Arabidopsis thaliana: one gene and its partner. The protein of the gene in region 1 interacts with the protein of each later gene in a pairwise test. Each region holds a gene or a part of one and is shown on either strand. Other genes may lie near its edges. The genes, in order: RPT3 and AT2G03430.

Evidence for each region.
Region 2: the proteins of RPT3 (region 1) and AT2G03430 interact in a two-hybrid assay, tested with the Arabidopsis thaliana proteins (one large-scale study listed by BioGRID).

What each region holds. Positions count from the first base shown.
Region 1 is NC_003076.8:23,567,256-23,572,531, reverse strand, and holds RPT3 (regulatory particle triple-A ATPase 3), read right to left. Parts: upstream 3,481-5,276; 5' UTR 3,378-3,480; coding exon 2,913-3,377; intron 2,808-2,912; coding exon 2,577-2,807; intron 2,495-2,576; coding exon 2,336-2,494; intron 2,236-2,335; coding exon 2,083-2,235; intron 1,958-2,082; coding exon 1,874-1,957; intron 1,551-1,873; coding exon 1,416-1,550; 3' UTR 678-1,415; downstream 1-677. Other genes in the region: AT5G58280 (AP2/B3-like transcriptional factor family protein), read right to left, coding at 3,862-4,050, 4,137-4,343, 4,439-4,598, 4,672-4,736, 4,817-4,915, 4,994-5,194. UniProt on the Arabidopsis thaliana protein: The 26S proteasome is involved in the ATP-dependent degradation of ubiquitinated proteins. The regulatory (or ATPase) complex confers ATP dependency and substrate specificity to the 26S complex.
Region 2 is NC_003071.7:1,035,261-1,039,701, forward strand, and holds AT2G03430 (Ankyrin repeat family protein), read right to left. Parts: upstream 2,416-4,441; 5' UTR 2,277-2,415; coding exon 2,094-2,276; intron 1,860-2,093; coding exon 1,727-1,859; intron 1,482-1,726; coding exon 1,357-1,481; intron 1,282-1,356; coding exon 1,135-1,281; intron 1,067-1,134; coding exon 932-1,066; 3' UTR 748-931; downstream 1-747. Other genes in the region: AT2G03420 (uncharacterized protein), read right to left, coding at 129-225, 306-395, 491-677; NRP1 (nodulin-related protein 1), read right to left, coding at 4,149-4,441.

The DNA of each region.
Region 1 (5,276 bases):
TATCTTTATCATTGGGAGATTAAACAATCCAAGAGGCTAAGATAAGAGATTGAAGCATCCAGCACAAAAAAAAAAGCAAAAGGAATAAAGCTAAAGAGCCAAACTTTAACACAAAACTTTGATGAGCAAAGAAAAGCAGACTCCTTTTGCCAAAAGATATTGTCACTAGAGAAAGAAGCAGAGGTCTGTCCATCATGTGGACAATGTCACTAAGTAAATAAAGATGAGTTTTGAGTGTCTGATTTTTATCGGAGTTGTTGAACAAACAACGTGTAGCCAGCGAATTGGAACTAATATACCACGTCACTAGCCTGTATCTAAAGTCTTGAAAGTTTCCTACCCACCTAGCCGGAGAAAATGGCGATTTTTAAGTATAATTCCCAACAATGAGAGACAGACAATTACAGAAAGTTAAAAGGAAAAATACAAAAACCAAAAAGAAGAAGAAGAGAGAAAGAGAACCTGGGAGTAGAGAGGTAAGCTAGCGAAGTAAGAAAATTGTGGGCACTGAAGAACTCAGCAATAGAGGAAGAAGAACTTATGCAGATGGAGCGCTCAGACCTCTGCACTCTACTGCATTGAGCGGACTATAACACAATCTTGAAATGGTGAAAGAGAAGAAAGAAGAAAAGGCAATGTATGTGGGGACTAGTGGAGAAGAAGAAGAAGAAGAAGAAGAAGAAGAAGAAGAAGAAGAAGAAAGAGAGAGAGAGTGTGGTGAAGTTAAACAAAAGAGGCGTATTCGTTAAGGGTAAGACAGTCTTCAAAAGGAGTCTTTAGATCAAATCATATTGGTGTGTAAACACCGCAACAAACGCTAATGTAGAGAGACCCAGAGACTGACCAAGCTTAAGATTCTTATGAGATAGCAAAATGACAAATACATGAAAACAAAAACCATCTTGATCCAAGTTGTTATTTTTAAAGTAATCATTTAGATATGGTAATAGTTCTTACCTGTCCAACCACTCTTGCTACTGTTTTCTCTTGATTTGCATCATTCTTGATTTGCGGATACTATGTAATAGTAATACTGGTCATTTCATCATCTATCACCAACTCCAAAACAAGATCCAACACATTTAGGCATTATTGAAGTCTGAAGTTTTCTATGAACATTGAGCAGTGCAGCGTGCTCCTAATATCATCACTATTTTTGTTGTCTTTTTAATCAGAGGAGACATAATTATTACCATGCTCTGGCAATTCTAAGGACACCATCCCCAGTTTTTCTTATACATTAAACTGTAAAAAGCTGATAGACTAAAAACAAATGTGAACTCGAGTTACAGAAATTAGGAGATGCAACTTAGTTCTTAATTTAACTGCAAATTTGATTCCATGTCCTTAATAATTCTCAAAACACACTGGAATTTTAACAACAGCCATAATCTGGTTCCACTTCTGCTTTCTCTTCACTTGTAAAACTCAAAGTCCGTGTCTGGCTTCTTAACATTTGCGCGGTAGCCCTTCTCGAAATCCTTAGGTAGTATCACATATCTGTTCTTTCGCACCGCATGCATACCAGCTTCCTGGCAAATTGCTGCTATCTGCATTGTTCAACATAAAATCAAAATAGTGTCATTAATAACTATCATCATTACATGCAATCTTTTTAGGAACAATTCCCATGTACATGATAAAATCAAACCATATTACTGCCAACAATTGATTTCTCAACAATTCAGTTCAGGACAATGATTAACAAACGACTCAGCTAACATTCATACATAATGCTTGAAACAGTATGATTATGCTCAAGTGCATATTTTGAAGAACATCATTAGGTGGTGACCCAGAAACACTGGAGGATATATCATGGTAAAAGTAAACTATAGCGGGAAGAATAGAATGGTAAGCAAAATAAACTAACCTCAGCAGCGCTAATTTTATCAGGCCGTGAAACATAGTCTTCCAAGTCAACCTCATCGCTAAGGTTCATTTTGGAGGTGCATACCTACACAAGGAAAAACCAATCAATAAGACAGAAACTAAGATATCAGTCAAAACTTTCTTTTGAGAAAACATTTGGTTTCATATCTCTTTAACTAGTTATTTAAGTGCTTGTAGTAATTAACTTACCTGGAAAACAAGCCTCTTTTGACGTCTATCAGGAAGGGGGAACTCAATCTTACGATCAAGTCTTCCAGGACGTAAGAGAGCAGGATCTAGAGTGTCTGCCCTGTTTGTTGCCATTATGACCTTGACATTCACGGTCTGGTCAAATCCATCCATCTACATCGAATTCAACACAATAAGTTAAGGACACAACTAAAATCCATTATTCTACAACATAAGATCTGAATTACAACTAAAATTCATTATTTGTTCTCACCTGATTAAGAAGCTCCATGAGAATACGCTGAACTTCCCTATCGGCTCCTGTTTGAGCATCAAACCTAGCAGTAGCGATGGCATCTACCTCATCAATGAAGATGATAGCTGGAGCATTTTCCTTGGCAAGACGGAAGACATCACGAACCATACGAGGTCCCTGCAATTAAAAAACCAGTTAGTCACCAAATAGAATCGCTCAATAGGACCTAAACCTTCAATAAAGCTATGATTTTTAATACCTCGCCGAGATACTTTTGCACAAACTCGGATCCAACAACCCTAATGAAGGCAGCAGTTGTGTGATTGGCAACAGCCTTAGCCAACATAGTCTTTCCAGTACCAGGAGGTCCATAGAGCAAGACTCCACGAGGTGGGTCAATACCAATCTGTTTGTAAAGCTCGTGGTGGGTAAGAGGCAATTCAACAGCCTCACGAATTTCCTGTTTCTGAATATCGCATCCTCCAATATCCTACACAAAAAGATAAAGCACCACATAAGAAACCAAAGATCGTTTCAAAAACCCTAACTTTAATTCAGAAAACAGAGTCGAGATTTGGAAAAAAGGAAACATTACATTGTAGGAGACGTCAGGCTTCTCAGATTGGCTGAGAAGGGAGATGCTAGAATCAGCCTCCGGAGGCAAAACATCAACAAGGGCGTTGGAGTGACGGTGAAGAGCGACGGAAGCAGAAGGCTTTAAGAGTTCTCTATTGATTGTGCTGAGAATTCTGACATAGTAATTGGAGCCAGTAGTAGATCCGACGATGCCGTTGTTCTGATCTACCATCTCCATGAACTGACCTATCACCAAAGGCACGGATTGAATTCGTTTGACCTCTTCTTGTGCTCGTAACAGCTCTCGTTTGAGATTCTTTTGCTCGTCTTTCACATATTCTTCTTGGATATCGGTGAACTCTAGTTGTCGTTCAAGCGATTTGAGGCGGCCATAGAGATCTTCTTCGTCTGCGGTGGATAGATCCATCAAGGCCGGTGATGCTTTAGGGTCAAGAACCATCGATGCAACAGCCGCGGAAGCCATTCTTTGAGAGATCTTTGAGGGTGGGGGAAGAGAAAAGTGAGATTGCTATGAAATTAAATAGACTTTTGCGAACCGAGATATCTTTGGAGTAGAGGAAAAGAAATGTTAATTTGTGAGCCGACTCATCTAAATAAAAGGAAAATAGATTAAATGGGCCTTTTGTCATAGTAAGGCCCAGTTTTGATATTTAATAGCCCGTTTACTCTCTCCATTTTAATTTGTTTATTTTGTGACGGAGTTGGTCTAAATGGTATCATCAGAAGTATATAGCTCATCATCGCCTAGTAACCAAAACTGAGAGGAAACAATTTAAATTTCCGAACCAAAGCCGCTCATCAGAGTTTCAGTTCTACTTTCAAATTGAAAAAAACAAAGTTTACCTTGGGTTGATAAACTTACAAATATGCCATTAGTATTAGTAGTATTAGCAGCCCACTCAAAAACCAAAAAAATATATGGGGCATGTAGACAAAAGAAAGCTCTCTTATGCTTTCCTCTTCCTTAGTAACCTTACGGATGATCTCTTAGTGGCTCTTGAGCTGTGTTCCTCATCACCTGATTCTTCAACATCCTTATCTTCTTCTTCTTCTTCTTCTTCACTTGGCGTCGTTGCTCTGCCTCTCTTTCTGGCGCTTGTAAGATTAGCGTTCTCATTTCCTTTAAACACATAGATCTGCACCAAGCAAACATTTTATAATCAACATGTGAGAATGTCAACTAACTCCAACCACATGACTCTTGTTCAAGACACATACATACCTTGAACTTCTTTGGTTCAACCAATTCAAAGAGTAGAGCATCACCATCATCCAATTTATGATCAAGAGCAAACCTTTTCCAACCACCACTGAGTCCAGCTCTTCTACCAATGTACACTGCTTCATACACTTCGCCTTCTTCATCCTCTAGTTCTATTTCCATAGTTTCCTCAGGAAAATTGTCTGCACAGAATCTTGAAGGAAGCCCCTTGAAATTTGCAAGCAAACCCATGTAGGTCAAGTAAGGTACTAACACGAAATCCTTGAAGAAGAAACACACACAAGTGTTGTGAACGAACGTACCAGCCAAAAGCAACTGTAAACATGGGAGCGAACCATAGATTTCACAAAGTAAGGATGTGGAGATTTAAGGCTCCTCTGGAACTTCTCTGCAGCCTTGAATGCTCCAACCTTTTCTTCATAAGATGCAAACTTGCACTCATGGAGAGGTCGAGAAATGTAGCTGATGAATTTTAACTAATTGATCAGATGAAAGGATAGTTTTTTAGGGCAAAATTGTGGAGCAGGGCACTTACGTCGCCCATGTAGAGCTATGTCGCGATCTCCTCAGATTCGAAGTACGACCAGTGTCTACGACGACCTGAAAAGAGACAAGGGATTGGGTTGATTGATTGCTGTGAAAAATCTATTACAGAAGTAAGAGAAAGCTGGGAAAATTACATCATCGCGATAGGAAGAAATTACGGTACGAACACGGGAAGAGCGTCTTGGTTCAGCAGTAGCTAAGAGGGCTTTATCGATGGGTTTGTGATTACGCTGCTGAAGAAGCTGAAATTGTGGTAAAGCTACAAAATTGGACTAGGAATGAAGCAGAAATGGAAGGAAAAAACACGAAACCTGAGGCGTTTTCTTTGTAATCTGAGTCAGAGTCTTAGAAATCTGGGAAATTCCTAAATCCTGAGATTCAATAATCAAAATTGATAAACGAATCAGAGAAGGAGGAGAAGAAGAAACGCGGTAACGATGAAGGGTAACTTGAAATCGCTTGTGATTCTCTTGAAGACGGAGCTTGCGAGCTTCCTCATAGGCCATGGCCATTGCAGAGTTTCCTAGGAGGAGAAAGAAATGGCGCTTCGTTTGAATTTCGAAATCACGGACTTCTTCTTGTTAATTAATTAAT
Region 2 (4,441 bases), on another chromosome or scaffold:
ACCAATGTTACATGTTACAATGTTACATCTTATAAGACCAAAAGGGTATATGTAAAGTTTCAAGATTTGCACATTGTTGGCTCTGTTACATCATAAAAGACCAAAAGGGTGTGTGTAAAGTAACTTACTTTTCTTTGTTGAGTTTGGAATTCTCAAGTAATTTCTTGAGAAGTGGAGAATCTTTGAATCTGGCATCGTTCTCTGCGTAGAACTTCTGGTTTTTTGCTGCAATTAGCAAGCTTTTTCTTAGAGCAGAGAAACACAGTTTTTTTGTTCTTGAATTCAAGAAATTGAAAGATTGGTACCATTGAAACGGTCAAGGAACTCGATTTTTGGTAATTCAGGACCTGGAACTGATTCTATACCGGGAGATCCCGACATTAAGCCTGCTTCAGCTGAGGACCATCCATACATATACATATGATGCTGATGATGATGACACGCATATACATTGAATCACAGGAAAAGTATTGAGTAGTAGTGTAGTTACCGGTACAAGGAGAGAGGAGAAGGGTGAGTGAGGCAGCGAGAGGGAAGGTGGACTTGCAGAGAAGATGGTGAAACGGGGATGGTGCTGATGATGATAGAGCCATGGAGATACGAGGATGATGAATTACTCTTGGTTCATAGAGACTAAAGCTTGGTCGAGAGAAAGAAGAGATTTTTGTTTGCATCATTTTGCCTTTAGATTTTTGTGAGGAGGGTAAGTGACTCTTAGGAGATAAGAAGGATATATATAATTTTTAACCAAACAAAAAAAAAAACTTTTTTCTCACTTGTTTCCAAAATTGCTTTTGAGAAAATTTCTAAAGACAGAACATGAATTGATAAGGCAGAAACATTTTGCAAACATGATACAGTAAAGAAAAATCCTTTTAAGTAACTAAACAACTCTCAGAGTTAGTAAGTTTTAAAGTAATCCAGAGTCATTTTATCCTTCAAGCATGGCCTTAGCAGCATCGATAAGTGCAGGTCGGAATTCATTGGTAGCTCGGCCTAGAACAGTGTAGCCTTCCTTGTCTTCTACATCCACATCTGCACCATGTCTTATAAGCAGGAACGCAACCTGATCCATGGAAACTTTTAACTTTAAAGAAATGTTGCTTTTAAGGTTGATTAGATTGAAAATTTTACCTGTTTGTCATCGCAGATAACTGAATGCATGAGTGCAGTTTGACCCATTTTATCCGTAGCATCGATCTCTGCTCCTTCTTCAATAAGAAATTCACAAACTTCTAACTTTCCCACGCTTGCTGCCCTGTGAAGCGGAGTGCAACCAACCTAAAAGCCACACAAAAAAAAGTTTGTTTGTGTGTTGATGATCACAAGCAACAAGACATTAAGAAGCTACAAAACCTTGTCTGTGATGTTAATCTTTGCACCGTGTGTTAATAAAAGCTGAGCAATCTCCAACCGGCCTTTGCTAGCAGCATAGTGAAGAGCAGTGCGACCACCGTTATTTTTGGCATTGACATCAGCACCTAAACACAAAGAAAATGTCATCAAATGTATCCATCTTCTCATACATGCAATGAATTGAAGTTAGAGCTAAACACTGGAAGAACTACTTCACAGTAGGAACTTATATGTCCAATTCCAATGGAGGACTATTAGATATTAAGAGATCAACTACTCAGGACTGATAAAGATTACAGCTTTATGATAGCAAAACAAGATTTTACCACCGTTTCAACAACAATAAGGCACATAAGATTATGTAACATACCTCTGGTCAAAAGCACCTCAACGAGCTCAGCATTACCGATGCTAGCAGCGGAATGCAAAGGAGCCCATCCTTCATCATCCTTGCTATTGATTACAGTCTTTGCTTCATCTGAACTTGATAACAACTTCACTATCTGCAAATCCCACATCCATAAACATTTTTACACATACTGACACTGTTCCTAAAACACACTAATCTCAAGAACCCAAACAACGCAGATTCGTGTGGTTTTCAAAGCGAGACTCAAAAACTTCCCTTAAGGCTTTCTCATCAGTTAAACAACCTATTTACTGCAGCTATAGTAATCAAAGAGGTTATCTAACCACAGATTAGTTCTTAATATGATTGAAAAGAGAAAGGAACAAACTTGAGAATGGCCGAAGGAAGCAGCGACATGGAGGAGAGAGCGACCATCTTCGTTTCTGAAATTGAGAGATTTAGAGAGCTGTTCTTCAGATAATGACATGAACAACGATGAATCTCCCCATTCCGCTGCTTTGAACAACTCTTCGTCTCTCATCTGCTTTGCTGTATCGGTTGCAATTTCCATGATTGATCAAAGCTTCTTCTTCTTCCAAAGTTCGAATTCAGAAAATCCAGAGAAAGTGTACAAAAGATCAAAGACAAGAGACCCTAAATTAAAATTAAAACAATTTCTCCTAAAATAAGCAGAAAAAGATTAATTTCCCAACAAGAAAACAAAATGGATTCGCATATTGGGCCCGTTTATGGGCCTTTTACACAATCTCAGGACTTGCGTTTGGTTTATCTATCCGCTTTCAGTTCGTATTCATTCGGTTTTCAGTTTATTTTTCTAAAATTTAGTATTCATTCGCTTATTTTGAAATTTTGTTTCGCTATCGGTTTTGGTTCTTTTGGTTTCAAAATTTAGTATTCATTCGGTTATTTTGCTTTGAATATATTCGGATATTCGGTTATTTTTGGATATTTTCGGACATTTTCGGTTATTTTTGAGTATTTTTACTACTTTATCTATTTTCAGGTATTTTTAATTATTTTATTTGATCCAAAAATAATTAATATTTTAGAAAATATAATTATACTAGATTTTAACCCGCGGTATACCGCGGGGACAATTTATTTTTTAAAGTTAGTATATATAAAAATTTGTAAATTGTATCTATCTATAAAATATTTTATTTTATAGTTTACAACTGTTATTAAGTAACGTCCTCCCAAACCCGTCTCGCAAAACCCGTTCTGCAAAAAAAACCATTTATTTTATTAATGTTGATCTTATTTATGAATCATTGTCTAAATATTTTAGTCGATGCGGGATGTTGAACCCACACATTTTTTCGCCAATTGGTTAATATATGTTCATTTTTAAAAATTTTAATCACAAAATATGACGGAAATTTTTTTGAGATTTTTTTAAACTATATATTATATAATGATGTTAAAATTTTTGATATATTAAACTTTTTATAAGTTTAAATATTAATAATGTTTTATAAAGTTTAAATATATAAATATTTTAAAATATTTTTGCTTTTTAGATAATGACATAATAACTCTAAAAGCAAAGATTTAGAAGATTTAAATCGTTAATTAAATATTTTTCTTTCTAAATAATTAATTTCAGTAGCATGACATTGTAAATAAGTTCAAATACATGATTTATTTATTTAAACAAAAAACGTTTAGTAAGAATAATATTTATTTAAACAAAAAACTTTGTTTTAAAATATTGTTAACAAATACGTTTATGCTAATTTTAAGGGATTGATGTGAAGTTTGTTTGGATTAAATTTGATTGATAATGTGGTTGACAATTTAAATTAAGAATTTAAAGTAAAATTAATTATTTCGGAAAAAAAAAATTAATGCTAATGGCATTGAGTTGTAAATAAGTCCAACTCTAAGATTTATTTGTTAAAATGGCTGCAAAAATGTATTTATAGATTTCGGATATTTTTGATTATCCAAAATATTTTGGTTCCGTAGTAATTCAAGTTTCGATTCTTTTGATTATAATGTTTAGTAATTATTTTTAAATTTTTGTTTCGATTGACTTTATTTTGCTTTCCTATTTCAGTTCGATACATTAGGTTTAATTTATTTGCCAAAACCTAAAAATTATCATTTTCTTGTGTTTTTCCTCCTTCTTCTCAGGATAATAATTAGTTTATTTATTTTTAGACGGTCCATTTAAATTCGATATTAATTAGTATTACTTCCCATAACTTAAAGTTCGGTTCTAATTATACAAATATTTGATTAACGCAATCTCGAGTGGTCAACAACATGATACATGATCTTTAACATCATAATTTCCTCCATCATACACAAATGACAAATCCAACAGTTAATAATAATTCAGAAAAAACAACAGCTTACTAAAACAGTAATTATAGAAGATAATTACTAACATAATTATTTTTAGAAACTAAAACATTACTCACTTCATAAAACCTTGAGCCATCTTAGCATAATCTCCAAACCCATGACCACCTCCGGACTTCTCATCTTCTTTCTTAGCCGCCGGTGCTCCAGCTCCACCACCGTGTCCTCCAACATTACCGTGGCTTCCAGTTCCACCGGTGGAGGAGTGAGAGTGGGAAGTTTCGTACTTGTGAAGATATTGTTCAGCCTTTTCAAGGTACTGACCAACACCGCTCTTTTCATCGAGCTTACCGTATCTAGAAGCGGCGTCTAAGATATCAGCGGTGGCTCCGGCGACTTTGGCTTTGT